Linked DNA regions of Anolis sagrei. The protein of the gene in region 2 binds, or shares a complex with, the protein of the main gene of each other region. Links are inferred from orthologs where the notes say so. Each region holds a gene or a part of one and is shown on either strand. Other genes may lie near its edges.

The links. Proteins that work in one complex are often made in the same cells at the same time.
Region 1: the proteins of TNNI3 (region 2) and TNNC1 are in contact, whole or in part, in a crystal structure (PDB 4Y99), measured with the Homo sapiens proteins. The link is inferred for Anolis sagrei from reciprocal best matches to the Homo sapiens genes TNNI3 and TNNC1. Residues at the interface, in NP_000354.4 of Homo sapiens: Glu32, Pro33, His34, Ala35, Lys36, Lys37, Lys38, Ser39, Lys40, Ile41, Ser42, Ala43, Ser44, Arg45, Lys46, Leu47, Gln48, Leu49, Lys50, Thr51, Leu52, Leu53, Leu54, Ile56, Ala57, Lys58, Glu60, Leu61, Glu64, Arg136; in NP_003271.1 of Homo sapiens: Asp3, Ile4, Lys6, Ala7, Glu10, Gln11, Thr13, Glu15, Gln16, Glu19, Phe20, Ala22, Ala23, Ile26, Phe27, Val44, Met45, Leu48, Gln50, Glu59, Met60, Glu63, Glu66, Asp67, Gly68, Asp73, Asp75, Glu76, Phe77, Met81.

Annotation. Positions count from the first base shown.
Region 1 is NC_090022.1:68,379,218-68,389,448, reverse strand, and holds the start of TNNC1 (troponin C, slow skeletal and cardiac muscles), read right to left. Parts: upstream 3,856-10,231; 5' UTR 3,711-3,855; coding exon 3,687-3,710; intron 1-3,686. Other genes in the region: NISCH (nischarin), read left to right, coding at 8,073-8,159. UniProt on the Homo sapiens protein: Troponin is the central regulatory protein of striated muscle contraction. Tn consists of three components: Tn-I which is the inhibitor of actomyosin ATPase, Tn-T which contains the binding site for tropomyosin and Tn-C.
Region 2 is NC_090026.1:21,099,019-21,109,313, forward strand, and holds the start of TNNI3 (troponin I, cardiac muscle), read left to right. Parts: upstream 1-6,370; coding exon 6,371-6,381; intron 6,382-8,354; coding exon 8,355-8,367; intron 8,368-10,295. UniProt on the Homo sapiens protein: Troponin I is the inhibitory subunit of troponin, the thin filament regulatory complex which confers calcium-sensitivity to striated muscle actomyosin ATPase activity.

The sequences.
Region 1 (10,231 bases), on a different chromosome or scaffold from region 2:
GTTGAAAGGTATAATATTAATACTGAATGCCATTCTAAATTGTCCCATGTCTGGAAAATAACCATATGACTTGTGTTCTGTACAAACCTTTGGTTGTAGCTGACTCAAAATCCTAGAAATGGCAACTCTAGAATTCGTGTTTTCCTATTTGGGAATGAAAGGCATTTCATGATCCTGCTGTTCCTTATGTCTGATCAGTAGAGACACTGGTGTGTGTTCTGTTCTGATCGTCTCTTCAGGATAAGCTGCACTCAGAGATAACCCTAGTGTAATCTTTTGCCCCCGTCAAGTTGTTTGTGGAGCCAGAACAGCCTTATGGAAGTCATCAGTCTTGCCAAGCTAGCATGTTAACAATCCATTTCAAAAGATCGGGCACCTTCAGAGGATAATGACAGAAAAAGAGGAAGAGCCTGTCTATACTGGAAACAGATAACAATAGCAGCAAAACCGCCACTCAAAATTTTGTAGTGAAACCTGAATCCATTCATCTAAGCCTCTGTGATGGAAGTGGAGCAGCTGTGAGATGCTCTTTCATTGTAATAGCAGAAAACAAAACAAAAAAAACAAGCCTTTGGCAATCCAGGATAGCTGGAAACTCTGAAGGCAGTGAACAAATGCTTCTTGTCACTTCTGTTTGTGTCGCACATAACTTGACTATTTTGGCATGCTGGCTATTTTTATGCACTAGTGAGTGGCTGGGGTGCGAGTAAGGGTAAGAAAGATAACATGCCCAATTGTTCCCCCAACATGATTGACATGGGTATTTATCCCTGGAGACTTTTATCTAGACACACATCCCTGGCCATGTTCTCCGTACTAGCATCTGGACACTGTTCTAAACTTAGCTCTGTGTATAAGATGTCAGTGGGCAAGGTGAGAAATCAACTGGATTCCTCTGGTCCAAATGAATGGTTGTATTTAGAAATGATTGGGTATATTATTCATTACACATTTAAATGTGCAATCAACTCTGCAATAAAAGTCATGCATAACATAATGTTCTTTCTTTTGTGGGTAAGGTGTCAGAGGCATTGACAAGTCTGGGATCTAGCGTGGTATAATGACTGAAGTGTTGGACTATGATGCTGGAGACCAGGGTTAAAATCTCAGCTCAGCCATGAAGGGCAAGTCATACCCTCTCAGCCTTAGAAGAAGGCAAAGGCAAACCTCCTCTGAATATAAATTCTGACATGAAAACTCTATGGTTGGATCAACATAAGTCAGAAATTATGTGAAAACACTAACAACATTGTGTTGTCGAAGGCTTTCATGGCCGGAAACGCTGAATTGCTTTGAGTTTTCCAGGCTATATGGCCATGTTCCAGAAGCATTTTCTCCTGACATTTCACCCACATCTGTGGTAGGCATCTCCAGAGGTTGTGAGGTCTGTTGGAAACTAGGACAAATGAGATTTATATATCTGTGGAATGTCCAGGGTGGGAGAAGGAACTCTTGTCTGTTTCAGGCAGAATGTTGCAGTTGGCAACATTAATTAGCACTGAATGACCTTGCAGCTTCAAAATCTGGCTGCATCCTGCCTGGGGGAATCCTTTATTGGGAGGTGTTAGCTCACCCTGAGTGTTTCTTGCCTATTTCCAACAGACCTCACAACCTCTGAGGATGCCTGTCATAGATGTGGGCAAAATGCCAGAAGAGAATGCTTCTGGAACATGGCCATACAGACCAGAAAGCTCACAGCAACCCAACTAACAACATTGACTTGGAAAGGAGAAATCTGGTTTGAAATCGTCCTTTAGCCATAAACCTCTTTTTTAGGTGACCTTTGGCATGCTAAGCCAGTCAGCTGAGAGCCCTTTCACACAGTCATATAACCCAGAATACCAAAGCAGATAATCGACAATATCTGCTTTGAACTGTGTTATCTGAGTCCACATTGCCATATAATCTAGTTCAATATGGATTTTATACAGCTGTGAGAAAGGGGACTAAACCTATGTGACAAAGACCTTTGAGGGTTAAATGAAGTACCCTCAACTCCTTAGGGAAAATATGGAATAAACATACAGTAAAATAATTTACAAAGTATAATGGTGCGCTCTAGAGCAGTGATTCCTCCAGTGGGTGATTTTTTCCTATAAAGGGGGAGGGGGCGCAGGGCTGGAAAAAGCCATGGGCATGGTAGTAGCCTGGGGTGCAATTTGAGAGCAGTGAATAATAATAAAAAGTAGTGAAGACATAAAGAAAGAAGAGAAGCAACTTTTGAAAAACCTTTCGTACATGCAAACACATTTAGACAGATTGTGATAAAACACAATTGCATTGTAAGTTTTTTTTTAAAAAAAATCTATAAAATATGGGAAAATTGCATTATATGAGTCCACACTGATCATATAATACAATTTCAAACTGCATTATAGGGCAGTGTAGACGAGACTCCAGCATGGTTTTTCAGACAGCCAGGACCATCATATTTCTATTTGCAAGTCAGCAACTAATAGCCTATTGTGGATTGGGCCACTGATGCAGGGAGGAGATATGGATTCTAACCTCACTCTACTATCTACCCCCTAACCCACCCCCACTATGGGATCTCAATGTATGTAAATCAATATCAGGCAATTTGTGAGTTTAAATGTGTTATCTCAGATATTCCTTGAAATGTAATCTTCCACTATTTAAACTACTGTGTGTCCATAGCCCAAATACAACTTTGCTTTGGTGGATTATTTACAAGCCATACCAGATGTTAAAATCCACTCTGGGAGCTTATCCCTCACTCTGATATGCAGGAATCATTCTTCTTCAATCTGTTTTACTAAGGTTTCTCAATAACAGGATTAACCACCGAAGAACCCAAACTCGATTAGTCTCTAAAAATAGCTTGGATTGTTCTTCCATTCACAATGAAATGAGGGTTTTTTTTTTAATTACTTCCATACATTTCTCTAGTGACTCCTTACCTACTTTTAAAACTAGACTCAGTTTGGTTTATATTTCAACTTCTAGCAATTAGGATTTAAAGTCCTTTCCCTTTGAGTATACATATACTTCAAATGTGACTTTATAACACATTAAATTATAATTGGCTTTTTACAAAGTTTTTTTTTCCGTGTCAGGAGCAACTTGGGAACTGCAAGTCACTTCTGGTGTGAGAGAATTGGCCACCTGCAAGGACGTTGCTCAGGGGACACCCGGATGTGTTAGCATCCTATGGTAGGCTTCCCTCATGTCCCCGCATGAGAAGCGGGAGCTGACAAACAGGAGCTCCCCCAGCTCCCCAGATGATGTGCTGTCAAATATTTAATGTAATGGCTGCAATAATTCACATGCAATATAGTACATTTAAAAGCTAAATCCTATGCAGAATTAAAGCAGGCTTAAGCCCTTCAAAATAATAAGCTCCAGCACATCTGTCCTTGTACAGGATTGGGCTATAGAACAAACCTGAACTTTAAAAAACTTGAGACAGTAGATTTGATTAAAGTAATCATGCAACCCATTTATATGCTATGCTGTATAAGAAACCTCTGCACCAAATAAAACACTTGTCAAAAGTTCTGTTACTACATTTAACCACATAATACGTGATCATCACTGCATAATATTTGTGACATCAGACTGAACATTATCACCCTGTTCTCTTGTCAGGAGGCAAAATGCAGTCCTAAACATGCTTAGCTAGAGATAAGTCCCAATGTATTATTACATATGAAAATCTTACTTACAGCTGCTTTATAAATATCATCCATAATTATTTATTGTTGGTCAGGAAGACTCAGGAGCTGGGCTTAGATGGCAAACTGTACAGAGACAAATTCCCAGTCTCTGCCAGCTTTCTCTCCTTAGAAGCTCTGCTTATATAGCAGGCTGTCAGCCCTAAATGTGTCCATCAAGAAGGGCTGATCACTGCTCCGCACAGCTTAGAGACACCCACAAAAGGCCATGCTATCCATTCCAGGCATGACTTTTCACCCTGTCTTCAGGGGAGGTATGTGAAGTTTGTTACAGCTGACATTTCTAAAGCCAGTTCCCAATTCCACTGATAGCTCTGTTTTCACTTCAGTAGACACAGAACTGAAGGAAAACCTGATCCTTCATTGATGCTTATTCCAGGATTCAGATGATACATGATCTCATGGTCCACCTCTGCTGCCTGAGTTCTGTTGTTCCCATCATCCATCCACATGACCAAGTCATAGCAAAACCAGGGCAGATGGTGAAGAATGCACAACTAATTTTTGACCACCGGGAATATAAAAAGATCCTACTGAAGGAACCGTCCTTTTTAAGAAACACTTTCCAAGATTCTGCATGAGAACCACAGACCCTTACGGCAGGAACATGGGCCTATGCTTCAAACCATGTAGTAGCCAAGGACCCTCCACACAGCTGAATAAAATCCCAGATTATCTGCTTTGAACTGGAATATATGGTAGTGTGAACTCAGATAACCCAGTTCAAAGCAGATATTGTGGGATTTTCTGCCTTGATATTCTGGGTTAATATATTTATGTGAAAGGGCCCTGAGAGGCAGAATCCCCCATTCAATAGATATTCCTCAGGCTGCTTTTAGCAGTTTGCTTGACGTATTCATCAACTCATTGTAACATCTAATTCTTCAGGGAGATGAGCACAAGCCTGGAAATGTTTCCAAAAATACGTCTTGAAATGATGTCTTCACATTGGATTGTATAAATTTCTGAACTTATTCTTACTATCTTTTTTCCTACAAGCATCATTGTGATGCGGTTGATGTTCTAACCTGGACAAAACAACTGCACTGACCTACACTTTTGCATCATTCAGGCAGAAGCATTCCTACTGAAAGTATGTTCCATATCACAAAACAGGATTTATCTCTCTCCATTGATCAGAGCTCCCTCCTCTGTCCAACTGAGTTGCAAGCAACTTAGGAAAGCTGGCCAAATTATAATGAAGTCAGGTATTTATGTGTCAAATATGTATGTGTATTTAAAATTAGCCTTGTACATGCCAGATATTGGGGAAATTACCCCATTTTTTAGAACTGCAAAAATTTTCTTGCCAGCATTCATTGTGAATTTTTTCCCTTGTTTATTTATATTGAGCAATTCTTCTCTTTTCTTCAAACAGGGAGGACTAACTTAAGACCAATAATAAATCATTTTTAAAATGTTAACTCTCTTTCTGCTCCAAATAGGTTTTTCCTCACCTTGCATTTGCACTAATGTGATATAGAGAACTCGTATGATACATTCTGCACCTAAAATAAAATAAATATCCCTTCAGGGGCTACATTGCGGATTTTCTTACTTTTTGGGTAGGATAATCCATTTTAAATGCATTCTGATATTCATACACTAACAAAAAAAGGATCACAGAATGGTCTGGATAGTGGTAGTAGATTGGTGCTAGAGATAGTTGCTACTGTGCTGTACAATAACCTATATAGCTTAAATATTATACCAAAGATGTATAGGAGAGTTGAAATACTGGAGGAAATATATTAGCCCTGTTTTCTCCTGGATAACAGAGCCCCCAGTGGAACAATGAGTTAAACCCTTGTGCCGACAGGACTACTGACCAAAAGGTTAGAGGTTCAAATCCAGGCAGCGTGGAGTGCTCCTGTCTGTCAGCTCCAGCCCCTCATGTGGGGACATGGGAGAAACATCTGGGTGTCCCCTGGGCAATGTCCTTGCAGATGGCCAGTTCGCTCACACCAGAAGCAACTTGCAGTTTCTCAAGTTGCTCCTGACTTGAAAAAAAATCCTGGATAACAACAGCAGGAGCTTCTTCCCTGAGAAAACAAAACATTATATGCAAGAATCAAAAGTTAATGTTCTGGCAAACAGCATAATAATAATAATAATAATAATAATAATAATAATCTTTATTTCTACCCCGCCACCATCTCCCCGATGGGGACTCGGAGCGGCTTACATGGGGCCAAGCCCAGACAACATAATACAGCAATAAAACCAAAGCATATACAACAGACAACAACAACATTATCAAAATGACATTAATAATAATAATAATAAACAGTCCAATAGACACAATCACGATAGAGATGACAATGGACAGGTCACATTTTCCAAATAACAAACCATTAACCAACTATGATGAGATAAAATAGGAGCAGGACATTTAAATGGAACTCATAAAACACAGAGCTGTGGGACAGAACATCCTATTTGGAGGTCACAAACTCCATTAGCCAAAAACGTTGAGGTGTAAAATATAATGCTGTGCACCTATTCGCCAAAGGCACAGTGCAAAAGCCAGGTTTTGAGGTTCTTTTTAAATGTTTCCGGTGAAGGGGCTTTCCTGATCTCCCCAGGTAAAGAGTTCCAAAGTCAGGGGGCCACAGAAGAGAAGGCTCTCTCCCTTGTGCCCACAAGACGAGCTTGTGAGATTGGTAGAGGCGAAAGGAGGACCTCCCCTGAGGAACGAAGGGCCCGGGTTGGTACTTGGAACGACGTACGGTCACGAAGGTAGCATAGTACTTTCAATGATGGCAGCGATTTGAAGTTTATTCTGCCTTTAACAAATTCAAGTATGTTGCAAGTCGCTTCTGGAGCGAGAGAATCAGCCGTCTACGAAGACATTGCCCAGGGGACACCCGGATGTCTTGCAATCCTGCGAGGAGGCTTCTCTCATGTCCCCCAATGCACAATGGAGGACTTCCTTGCGGCAACACCAGAGGCACTCCAAGTGACCAGCTGCTGGTCAAAGGACATTTAATCAAATACCAAACCTTGCTAATTCTGTGTTTTGTCTGTTTGTTTGTTTTTGTTAAAAAATGTAATACAAATGTCTGGTTGCTGATGACACAATAAATAAATAAATAAATAACAAATTTGAGTTAAATGTACTAAGCCTTTCTTTGCACTCCTTTCAAATGGCCTTGCAGCTTCAAAGCCTAGCTGCCTCCTGCCTGGGGGAATCCTTTGTTGGGAGGAGTTAACTGGCCCTGTTTCCCTTGTCTTCTGAGTGATGTTTTGTTGTTCTCAAGATCAATTCCCACCCCCAGGATTCCCTAGGATTGAGCCATGGCAGTTAATGACAAGCTGGAATGTGTCCAGAGGACGGCGACTAAAATGATCAAGCGTCTGGAGAACATGCCCTATGAGGAGTGGCTTAAGGAGCTGGGCATGTTTACCCTAAATAAGAGAAGGCTGAGAGGAGATATGATAGCCATGTATAAATATGTGAGAGGAAGCCACAGGTAGGAGGAAGCAAGCTTGTTTTCTGCTTCCTTGGAGACTAGGACACAATGGAACAATGGCTTCAAACTACAAGAAAGGAGATTCCATCTGAACATGAGGAAGAACTTCCTGACTGTGAGAGCTGTTCAGCAGTGGAACTCTCTGCCCTGGCGTGTGGTGGAGGCTCCATCTTTGGAGGTTTTTAAACAGAGGCTAGATGGCCATCTGTCAGGGGTACTTTGAATGCAATATTCCTGCTTCTTGGCAGGGGGTTGGACTGGATGGCCCATGAGGTCTCTTCCAACTCTTTGATTCTATGATTCTATGAAAGTGGTCTCAAACTGCGTCAATTCTACAGTGAAGTAGGAGCAGCCTTTGTCACTCAAGGACTTGCTGTGGGCGGAGCAAGATTTTCCAAAAGCTCCCTCTCCACATTGTTTATTTTCCAGGTGCCGCTTCCATCTGTTGAGAGGGGGGTTCGCCGTAAACGTTAAGCGAGCCCTGCATAAGAATGGGCGGTCACGACCCATAAGTAATAATAAAAAAATACCCCTTCCCAATTCCGATGGTATGGCCCATCCTGTGTTCGTTTAGCCCCGCCTCCAAAGCTCAGCCCCGCCCCCTCGAGGCCGAGGTTTTCGCGTTTCCTCCTCCTTCTGCGCAAGCGCAGAAAAGGAGTGTTAGCGACCGAGGGCGGGGCTTGTCCTTTCTCTCAGCGACTCTACTGGGCGTGAGGGGGAGGGGGGAATCAAAGATGGCGGCGGTGACAGCCCTGGCTGAGCTGGCAGAGGCCACTGCTGAGGGAGGCGGCGCAAGGGCCGCCACAACAACAACAACAACAACAAGAGCGGCCGAGTGAGAGCTTCCCACACCACCTCCCCTTCCAAGCGGCCTTTCCTCCTCTTCCCAGCTGTGGTGGTCGCCATGGAGGTGATGGGGGCCGGCGAGGAAGGCGAGGAACCCCCCAAAGTCGCCCGCGTCCTCGGCTCCGAGCTGGTGGAGAACTACACGGTGAGGAGGAGGAGGAGGAGGCCGCGGAGGGGCTTTCCTGAGGGAGGGAGGGAGGGAGGGAGGGAGGGAGTTCCCCCGAGGAGGGGAGGCACTTCCACTGCTGCTTCCATCACTTTCTGTGAGGTGCTCCATCCCCAAGGAAGTCAGAGTCCCACTCCTTTCTGCTTGGGTCAGACCTCAGCTGGGATCAGGCTGTGTCTAGTTCTGGGCACCTCAGTCCAAGAAAGGTATTGACAGGGCTAATGTTGGGAAGCCAAGCCCTACCAGGAACTGCTGAGGGAGCTGGCTGTGTTTAGCTTGGAGAAGACAAGGCTTGGAGAACTGGGAGGGATTATTCCATGAAACAAGAGGTTATGAATCAGGCATGGGCAAACTTCGGTCCTCCAGGTGTTTTGGACTTCAACTCCCAGCATTCCTAACAGCCTTAGGCCCTTAGGAAGGGGCCTGAGGCTGTTAGGAATGCTGGGAGTTGAAGTCCAAAACACCTAGAGGACCGAAGTTTGCCCATTCTTTACTATCTTTGCCTCTCTTCCCCAACCTCCTTACCTTTCCTTTGCTTCTATCCCTCTTCTTTTGCTTTTCATCATCAGTGCCGTCATCACTATGACACTTTTGTCCTCTTTTCCACCAAAGAATAGAATTCAAATAGGCAAGTTCTAGGCACCATAATACAAAAATGACATTGGCAAGCTGGAATCTGACCAGAGGAGGATGACCAACAGACTGGAAACCATTGCCTATGAGGAATGGCTTAGGAAGCTGGGTATCTTTAACCTGGAGAAAGAAGACTGAGAGGGGACGTGATCACAATGTTTAAATATTTGAAAGGATGTCACTTTAAAGGGTGGAAAAGCTTGTTTTCTGCTGCTCCAGAGACTAAGGCCCTTCCACACAGCCATATAACTCAGGGCCCTTCCACACAGTCCTATGTCCCAGAATATAAAGGCAGAAAATCCCACAATATCTGTTTTGAACTGGGTTATCTGAGTCCACACTCGGGTAATGTGGGATTTTCTGCCTTGATATTCTGGGATGCAGGGCTGTGTGGAAGGGCCCTTCGAATATCAAGGCAGAAAATGCCACACTATCTGCTTTGAACTGAGGGGTCCTTGCACACAGCCCTGTATCCCAAAATATCAAGACAGAAAATTCCACAATATCTGATTTGAACTGGGTTATCTGAGTCCACACTCAGATAATGTGGTATTTTCTGCCTTGATATTCTGGGTTGCGGGGAGCCCCCAGGGGCGCAGTGGGTTAAACCACTGAGATGCTAAACTTGTTGATGAAAGGTCGCATGTTCGAATCCGGGGAGCGGATGTAAGCTTCTGCTGTCAGCCCCAGCTTCTGCCAACCTAGCAGTTCGAAAACATACAAATGTGAGTAGATCAATAGGTACCACTCCGGCGGGAAGATAACAGCACTCCATGCAGTCATGCTGGCCACATGACCTTGGAGGCGTCTATGGACAACACCGGCTCTTCAGCTTAGAAATGGAGATGAGCACCACACCCCAGAGTCAGACACGGCTGGACTTAATGTCAGGGGACAACCTTTACCTATTCTGGGATGCAGGGCTGTGTGGAAGAGCTCTTCGAATATCAAGGCAGAAAATTCCACAATATCTGTATTACACTGAGGGCCCACCCATAGAGCCCTATATCCCAGAACATCTGATTTGAACTGCGTTATCTGTGTCCACTTCCATATACTCCAGTCCAAAGCAGAAAATGTGGGATTTTAATCAGCTATCTGGAAAGGACCTGTGTTATCTGAGTCCACATTGCCATATATTCCAGTTCAAAGCAGATAATAAGGGGCCTTAGACATGGAGTGATGGATTCAAATTCCAGGAACAAATATTCCACCCGAATGTTAGGAAGACCTTTCTGACATGAACTCTTTAAGGAGCATGGTGAAGTCCCTCTTTCTGGAGGTTTTTGAGCAGGGAGTAGATGGCCATCTGTCAGGGGTGCTTTGGTTTCATGTTCCTGCGTGGCAGAATGGTGTTGGACTGGGTGACCCTTGGGTCTTTTCCAATTCTATGATTCTCTGAGGTTCTAGCGGTGCAA
Region 2 (10,295 bases):
GGCACACATGGAGGAGCCTGAAACTAAAGCCTAGCATATACCAAGGGCCTGATGGAAATGTAAATTGCAAATACAGCAATATTCCAAGATAAACACAAATAATAAAATACAACTGTCTTCTTGGGGGATTGGATTCAGTGCAATATATTGATGTCTAGGCTGGATGGCCATCTGTCAGGGGTGTTTGAATGTGATTTTCCTGCTTCTTGGCAGGGGATTGAACTGTATGGCTCATGAGATCACTTCCAAAACCTAGCATTTACCAAGTAACTGATGGAAGTGTAAATTGCAAATACAACAATATTCCAAGATAAACACAAATAATAAAATACAACTGTCTTCTTGGGGGATTTGATACAATGCAATACACTGATGTCTAGCTGGGATGGCTATCTGTCAGGGGTACTTTGAATGTGATTTTCCTGCTTCTTGGCAGGGGGTTGGACTGGATGGCCCATGAGATCGCTTCCAAAGCCTAGTATATACCAAGGGACTGATGGAAGTGTAAATTGCAAATATAGCAATATTCCAAGATAAACACAAATAATAAATTACAACTGTCTTCTTGGGGGATTGGATACAGTGCAATACACTGATGTCTAGGCTGGATGGCCATCTGTCAGGGGTGCTTTGAATGCATTTTTCCTGCTTCAAGATAAACACAAATAATAAAATACAACTGTCTTCTTGGGGGATTGGATTCAGTGCAATACACCAATGTCTAGGCTGGATGGCTATCTGTCAGGGGTGCTTTGAATGCAATTTTCCTGCTTCTTGGCAGGGGGTTGGACTGGATGGCCCATGAGATCTCTTCCAAAGCCTAGCATATACCAAGGGCCGGATGGAAGTGTAAATTTCCAACACAGTTATATTCCAAGATAAACAGAAATAGTAAAATCCAACTATCTTCTTGAGGGATTGGATACAGTCCAATACATTGATGTCTAGACTGAATGGCCATCTGTCAGGGGTGCTTTGAATGTGATTTTCCTGCTTCCTGGCAGGGGGTTGGACTGGATGGCTCATGAGATCTCTTCCAATTGTATAATTCTATGAATCTATGTGCAGGACTTTGTTTTCTTTTCAATGACATTTTTGTAGAGTGTTAGAAACACGTATAGACCCTGTAAAAATCTGTTTGCATACAATATAAAGCCTATGTAAATGCTACTGGAACATGGTAAAAGCAAAGAAATAATACGTCCTCATTCAATAGTGATTCATTTATATGCTTCCTTCCAAAGTATCTGAAAGCCCGGAAGATCCAGAGGAATGTCTTCTATATCACTTAATCCTTTACTGGTTGAACTGCAGCTGGTCAGACCCTCATTTCCCTGCACAGGATAAAAAGTGATTGTATTCAGACTATATTCATAAGAGCTGTTATTTCATTTTAGCCCTTACACTTATGCTATTATAATACTTTTTAAAAGTAGAATAATAGAATCAGAGTTGGAAGAGACCTCGTGGGTCATCTACTCCAACCCCATTCTGCCAAGAAGCAGGGAAATCGCATTCACAGCACCCCCAACAGATGGCCATCTAGCCTCTGTTTAAAAGCCTCCAAAGAAGGCGCCTCCACCACACTCTGAGGCAGAGAGTTCCACTGCTGAACAGCTCTCATGGTTAAGAAGTTCTTCCTAATGTTCAGGTGGAATCTCCTTTCCTGTAATTTGAAACCATTGTTCAGCGTCCTGGTCTCCAGGGCAGCAGAAAGCAAGCTCCCCCCCCCCTCCCCGCTTGTTATGACTTCCCCTCACATATTTATACATGGCCCTCATCATGTCTCCTCTCAGCCTTCTCTTCTTCAGTGCAGCTCTTTAAGCCACTCCTCATAGGGCTTGTTCTCCAGACCCTTGATCATTTTAGTCTCCCTCCTCTGAACACATCCCAGCTTGTCAGCATCTCCCTACAATTGCCCAGAACTGGACAGAGTATTCCAGGTGTGGTCTGACCAAGGCAGAATAGAGGGGGAGCGTGACTTCCCTAGATCTAGACACTATGCTCCTATTATTCATGCCAAAATTCCATTGGCTTTTTAAGCCGCCACATGACTGTTTATATATCTATGGAATGTCCAGGGTGGGAGAAAGAACTCTTGTCTGTTTGAGGCAAGTGCGAATATTACAATTCTCACTTACCTCAAACAGACAAGAGTTGTTTCTCCCACCCTGCTGTAAATGCGGAATGTCCAGGGCGATAGAAAGATCTCTTGTCTGTTTGAGGCAGGTATGAATTTTGCCTTTGTCCACCTTGATTAGCACTGAACGGTCTTGCAGGTTCAAAGCTGGGCTGGTTGCTGCCTGGAGGATCCTTTGTTGGGAGGTGTTAGCTGGCCCTGATTGTTTCCTGTCAGGAATTCCCCTGTTATTTGCATGTTCCCCTTTATTTACTGTCCTGATATTAGAATTTTTTTTAATACTGGTATCCAGATTTTGTTCATTTTTATAGTTTCCTCCTTTCTGTTGAAATTGTCCACAGGTTTGTGAATTTCAGTGGCTTCTCTGTAAAAATGAAAATGACCATAGTCTAGCTACCAGTATTAAGATGGCTCCTCTGTGTAATCTGACATGGTAGGTGTTAGATCCCAAAAAAGGATTCCCCAGAAAACAACCAGCCTGTCTTTGAAGCTGTAGGTCCATTCAATGCTAATCAAGCTGGCCAATGGCAGCATTCACACTTGCCTCAAGCAGACAAGAGTTCTTTCTCCCACCCTGGACATAATTCCACAGATATATAAACCTCATTTGCCTAGTTTCCAAAAGACTTCACAACCTGTGAGGATGCCTATCATAGATATGGGTGAAACGTCAGGAATGAATGCTTCTGGAACATGGCTATATAGCCCAGAAAACTCACAGAAGCACAGTGATTCTGGCCATGAAAACCTTCGACAACACATTAAAAGCCATAGTTTAAAATGGACTAGGCAAACCTTCCGGAAGAGATAGAAATACGATTTTCTGCTGTTTACATGCAAAAATAAATGAGAATTTTTGCACAGAATGAGTCTGAAGAGTGTGAAAATGTGCATCAGACCAAATCCTCACTTTTTCTTGATACTTGAGAAACAAGATTTGACGGTTTTCCCAAACATTTTGGAATGTTTGTCTTGCAATTCCTATCAATGTCCCACTTGAGTGTTGTAAACCCATTTCACTTGGAAGGGAAAAAGATTCTGTTGAGTGACTCTCTCTTGCCCTTCTCCTTCCATGAGACTTGGAGCCCTTCCACACAGCCATATAACCCAGAATATCAAGGCAGAATACCCGACAATATCCGCTTTGAACTGGTTTTTCTGAGTCCACACTGCCATATCTTCCAGTTCAAAGCAGATAATGTGGGGTTTTATTCAGCTGTGTGGAAGGGGCCTTGATCTCTTTGAGGAAGCCCAAAAGCAGGTCCACCACCGACTCCTCCTGCTGTATTTCTGCCTCTTCTTGGCAGCAGATGTCTCCAGAAATGGTGCTGAAGGATCGGTTTCACACCTTACGCTAAGAATAAAGCCGTCCCTTCACAGCTTTAAGAGGCGAGGAAGGGAAGAAAGGCGGCCGCCTCTGTATTTTCGCCTCGAGACTATGAAATGTCTCTTCCTTCCCCCTCTCCAGCCCCTTCCTATAATTTGAGCCTGAGGAAATCATTTCTTTGAAAGCATTTATATTAATCTCTACAGGGTTTGGGAAATGCAGCCCTTAATTGTGTTAAAAATAGTTGCATTTCTGCACATTGGCCGAGGAAGAATCCCTCTGTTTGGCTTCTTCTGAAAGGTGAATGAGAGCAAAAGGCAGGAATGGCTGAATGGGCTCCTTCCTTCCTTCCCACCTGCCTCCATTTCCGTGGCCTCCCCGAGGAATGGCGCAGGCCCCATTTTAGAAATGATAAGGCAGCATAAATTTAGCTCCTCTGAAGAGCTGCTGCAAGATAACCGTTGATCCTGGGAACAACTCAAAATGATTGCTTGGCTTTTATTTTGGTCAGCGGAGGGGACAAAGCAAAACAAGATGAAACCACATTTACCTACTCAACCCCTCACACACTGAAATGAAGTCTATTTTCTGTCTGATCTTTTTGAGGGGATATAATTATGATTATTGATTACCGGAGGGGAAAGCTTATATATGCATATCTCTGTTTCTGTGTTTTGTCTGCTGCGTTTTGTGCATTTTAAAATATAGGGTAATTCAGCCCCGCTGGGCTCCATACATTAAGTAGAGCCGGTTCTCTGTATCCATGGGTTCTGCCTCCACAGATTCAACCCAACACAACTCGAATATCTGTCTGTCTGTCTATCTATCTATCTATCTATCTATCTATCTATCTATCTATCTATCTATCTAAAGAGTTACAAGCTCTTTCTGTCATGTATTAGAGTAGTTTGCTTGTATTTTACAAGGTAAAGGTAAATAATAATAATAATAATCCTTTATTTATACCCCGCTACCATCTCCCGAAGGACTCGGTGCGGCTTACAAGAGGTCAAGCCCAAATACATCAGTAAAAAAGCAACAACAACAATACAGACAATAAATAAACTCATAAACAAAGCAATAAACAGTAACAATAACACCACAACGCATTAAAAAGCCATGGCAGGCCAATTGTAATAATTAAAATTTTAAAAATGCTGGGCATGACAAGGTGTCATATAACTAGGATAGGTATTTGAAGAGAGATGGAGTGAGCAGACAATCCTAGATCATTAGTAAAGTGCGATTAGGGACATGTTGCTTGGGTTTCCTTATTCTGGGAAGGCACACTGGAACAATCATGTTTTCAGGCTCCTCTTAAAGACTGCCAAAGTTGGGGCATGCCTAATGTCCTTGGGAGCGAGTTCCAGAGTCGAGGGGTCACCACCAAGAAGGCCCTATCCCTCGTCCCCACCAATCGTGCTTGCGATGGAGGTGGGATCGTGAGTAGGGCCTCTCCAGATGAATGAAGAGATCGTGTGGGTTTGTACACAGAGATGCGGTCACGCAGGTAGGTGGGTCCCAAACTGTTTAGGGCTTTGTAAGTAAGCACCTGCACCTTGAATTGGGACCGGAAAATGAACGGCAGCCAATGGAGCTCCTTAAACAGGAGGGTTGACCTCTCCCTGTAAGGAGCACCAGTTAACAACCTGGCCGCCGCCTGTTGGACCAGTTGAAATTTCCGGGCCGTTTTCAAGGGTAGCCCCACGTAGAGTGCATTAGAGTAATCCAATCTGGTTTTCCCCTGAGAACAAGCCCTATGAGGAGTGGCTTAAAGAGCTGGGCATGTTTAGCCTGAGGAAGAGAAGGCTGAGAGGAGACATGATGAGAGCCATGTATAAATATGTGAGGGGAAAACATAGGGTGGAGGGAGCAACTTGTTTTCTTCTGCCCTGGAAGTAGCAGCCAAAAGTAAAAGGACCAAGGCAGTGACATCTCTAGCTCATCCCTTATTTGGGTATCAGCCAGCACGTCAATGACTTAAATCAAGAAATAGTTTTCTAAGATCTACAGAGACACTAGCTGGAACACCCCAGCAAGCGAGAGTCCAAAAGTGGCAGGCTCAAACCCAGAACCTCAATCAATGGCTGAAACCCCCTGGGCACACAGAAGACTGGGAAACTTGGAAGGCGCTGAACAGACTGCACTCTGGCACCATGAAATGCAGAGCCAATCTTAAGAAATGGGGCTACAAAGTGGAATCCACGACATGCGAGTGTGGAGAAGAGCAAACTACAGACCACCTGCTGCAATGCACCCTGAGCCCTGCCACATGCACAATGGAGGACCTCCTTGTGGCAACACCAGAGGCACTCTAAGTGGCCAGATACTAGTCAAAGGACATTTAACCAACTACCAAGCTTGCAAACTTTGTGTTTTGTCTTTTTGTCTGTTTGTTTTGTTAAAAATGTAATACAACTGTCTGGTTGCTCCTGACACGATAAATAAATAAATAAATTCTGCCCTGGAGACTAGGATGTGGAACAATGGCTTCAAACTATAGCAAAGGAGATTCCACCTGAATATGAGGAAGAACTTCCTAAATGTGAGAGCCGTTCAGCAGTGGAACTCTCTGCCCTGGTGGAGGCTCCTTCTTTGGAGGCTTTTAAACAGAGGCTAGATGGCCATCTGTCAGGGGTACTTTGAATGCAATTTTCCTGTTTCTTGGCAGAGGGTTCGACTGGATGGCCCATGAGGCCTCTTCCAATTTGATGATTCTGTGCTTGTTTGCCATTTGATTACACATCAGCATGCTAGAAATGAATGTGTCTAATCTTTGAGGAAAAGTGAAACAGTGTGTGTGTGTGTGTGTGTGTGTGTGTGTGTGTGTAAGTGGGTGCACGTAGATATTAATGATGTATTATTTTTCCTTCCTCAGTGTATCTGAAGTTTGATTTCTGAAAATGTCTGAAGAGTGAGTAGTAGTCTTTTTTTAATTTGCTTTATTTTTTCTGATATAGCAAGCCAAGGTGGCTCACAACAAACAGGTCACAATATTGATTAAAAACAGAGCCAATGAATTAAAATATAAATATCAAAATTAAAAAAACAAATATTTTGTGTCATAAAGCATAAATATTAAAATACAATAAATATACAATTAAAACTACATTTTAAAATATCACCATTAATCATAGTAGGGGTGAGTGGGTGTTTTGCTACTTAATATCTGGTTTCTTTACAAGCAGCATTGCAGAGAGTAGAAGTATGGAAATTTATTCAGAATCTTCCACATGTATGATAATTGACATAGATTCACTGGGTTGCTGTGAGTTTTCCAGGGTATATGGCCATGTTCCAGAAACATTCTCTCCTGACGTTTTGCCCACGTCTATGTTGAATTATTTCAGCCAGAGAAGTCAGCAATTAACCAACCTGAACACAGCATAGTATTTGAGGACATAGAAATGCTGGGCCACTCTAACAACCATCATGTCAGACTACACAGAGAAGCCACTGAAATCCACAAGCATGGGGACAATTTCAACAGAAAGGAGGAAACCATGATAATGAACAAAATCTGGCTACCAGTCGTTTAAAAAGCTCTAAAATCAGGACAGTAAATAAAGAGTAACACTCAAAAAAGCAGGGAAATCCAGACTGGAAACAATCAGGGCCAGCTAACACCTCCCAATAAAGGATTCCCCCAGCAGGAAGCAACCAGTCTTCGAAGCTGCACGGCTATTCCATACTAATCAATCTGACCAATTGCAACATTCACACTTGCCTCAAGCAGACAGGAATTCCTTCTCCCTCCCTAGACATTATTCCACAGATATATAAACCCCACTTGCCTAGTTTCCAACAGACCTCACAACCTCTGAGGATGCCTGCTATAGATATGGGTGAAACATCAGGAGAGAATGCTTCTGGAACATGTCCATACAGCCCGAAAAACTCACAGCTACCTAGTGATTCTGGCCATGAAAGCCTTCGACAACACATTGATATAGATTCAGATTTCATATGCTTCTGGAAGGTAATTTGTGCCTCTTGAGTTGGGAGGAGGACTGAGGAAATCAAAATTTCTTGAGGAATGAGTGATCCTTTTGAGCATTTTTATCTGGAATTCAAAAATATTCTAAAATCCAAAATTGTTGGCAAATGTCTGAGACAGTTACACCTTGGTTTTCTTATGGTTTAGTATATGCACCCTTTGTGTCATGTACAAAGTATTGTATGGCCTTACCTTCATGCTATGTGTACAAAGTCCATATGAAGCAGGAATTAATTTTGGGTTTAGACTTGGGCCCTGTCTCAAAGATATCACATTATGTATTTGTACAGTATATACAAATAGTAGTAGTAGTAGCAGCAGTAGTAATATTTTTATTTTTGTGTTGTCGAAATGACCGGAATCCCTGGGTTGTTGTGGGGTTTTTTCGGGCTATATGGCCATGTTCTAGAGTAGTGGTTCTCACCCTGTGGGTCCCCAGATGTTTTGGCCTTCAACAAGGAGCCTGTGTTGTCCATAGACACCTCCTGATTGTGTGGCCAGCATGCCTACATAGAGTGTCTTTTTGCCTTTCCCAGCAAGGCAGTACCTATTGGTCTACTCACATTTGCATGTTTTTGAGGTTGGCAGGAGCTAGGGCTAACAGTGGGAGCTCACCTCATCCTACAGATTTGAAATGCCTACCTTCGGGTCAGCAGTTCAACAGCACAAGGGTTTAACCCATTGTGTCACCCACAGCCCCCTATGCTGTACATGTATTCCAAAAATCGAAAACAATCAAAAACACTTCTGGTCCTAAGAATTTCAGATAAGGGATACTTAACCTGTGTTGAGTGAAAATTGAAGCCCTGGGAATGAAAACACATTAAGCAGTTTTCAGATCTATAAATGTGATTTATTCTGACTGATTGGGTTTCGTCTGTCTTTTACAGGGAAGAAATCACTGTGAGTACCCACAACAAAGCATCTTCAAGTTGGATGAACAATGACCATTCATCTTTTATTTTGTGCTGTGTTCTTTTCCTCTTTCAAATGAGAGAAACTCTTGTTTTTGTTAGTTTTCTGCCACATGTGGTAACTACAATGTAAAGGAATTGGTGGGACTGATTCCTGAATAAATATGCTAAATGAACGAACCAAAGCCATTCCCATAGAGCAAATGTGCTCATTCTACTGCTACTTGTAAGCTCACAGACCCACAAATCCAAGATAAGACTTATAGCTGATACATCTATGGTTTTGTGTCTGTCCAAATCTCCCTTTTATCTCTGGAATCCTATAATATCTGTTAATTAATGTAAATTAACGTATCACTGGAATCCTATCTCACCTTTTAATTAATTTAGCTTTGAGTAGTAGAAGTACTATGAAATCCTCTGAGCGAATTGCTAAGATCATGGTGTGTATCAGAACACCCCCAAGAGAGCCTAATGTGCATTGGGACCAATGCACATCAGTGTTCAATGTGCATCAATGCACTCTGTGCATCAGTGTGCAATATGCATTGGGCATTTTGCTGGCTCTGCCATGTAGTGATGCAACAACAGCCCTCAGATCAATACGGACTTTATAAAATTGACCTATTCTAGTTCATGTGTGTGTGTGTGTGTGTGTGTGTATGTGTGTGTGTATGTGTGATATCTCTCCTATAGAATTATATCTAATATTTTTAACAACATATTTGTATTTAATTTAAATGTGAAAGAATCTCTCTACTGGATTTTGCACTTTAGCTTTTGGGAACATGAGTTCCCAAAGTGTTTGCAAGGGATCACCTGTGGTAGTTTTTTAGAACTCGTCTCCTTTACAAATTTTGAAATGATTTGTTTTTAGACATAACTTCCAGAAGTTCTTAATTTCTAAACAAAGTCAAGAATCAAGCTATTTTAGGATTATATTTCTCCCCCTCAAATTATTATTATTATTATTATTATTATTATTATTATATATTAATTATAATATAATAATAATAACAACAATAATAATAACAACAACAACAATATGAGGATTTAAAGATCAAACTGCAAACACTCTGGCACAAACCAGTAAAGGTGGTCCCAGTGGTGATCGGCACACTGGGTGCAGTGCCTAAAGACCTTGGCCTGCACTTAAACACAATCAGTGCTGACCAGATTACAATCTGCCAGCTGCAAAAGGCCACCTTACTGGGATCTGTACACATTATTCACCGATACATCACACAGTCCTAGACACCTGGGAAGTGTCCGACGTGTGATCCAATACAACAGCCAGCAGAGTGATCTTGTTTGCTGTGGAGTCTTGTTGTGTTTCTAATAATAATAATAATTATTATTATTATTAATAATAATAATATTCCGCTCCATTTTCCCAAGGGGATTACGGTATACACATATATAGGCAAACATTCAATGCCTTGTATACAGTGAACAATGAAATACAATACAAAAACAAAGACAAAGATTTCCCTTTCCATCTCCGATGTCTAGAAGCGATTCTCAACTCTGGCCATGGGGAGGAGCTTTTGTTGCACGTTTCCATGCTGAGAAGCCTGTTGTGCGTAGACCTTCCTGGTCGTGATTGCCGGCATGGCTGCATGGGCATCTTTTACCTTCCCACCAAGGTGGTACCTATTAATCTACTCACATTACGTGTTTTCAAACTGCTAGGTTGGCAGGAGCTAGGGCTAATGGCAGGGGCTCACCCCAGCTTCGAACTGCCTTCTGGTCAGCGGTTTTTCTGCAGCTAGCGGGTTACCCCACTGTGCTACCACAGCTGTACCGGTAGGCTGTTAGGAATTGTGGGAGTTGAAGTCCAAAAGACCTGGAGGGCCAAAGCTTACCCATGCCTGAGTTAACACAAGCAAAAGCAAACTGGTGTAGCCTTCCTTAATG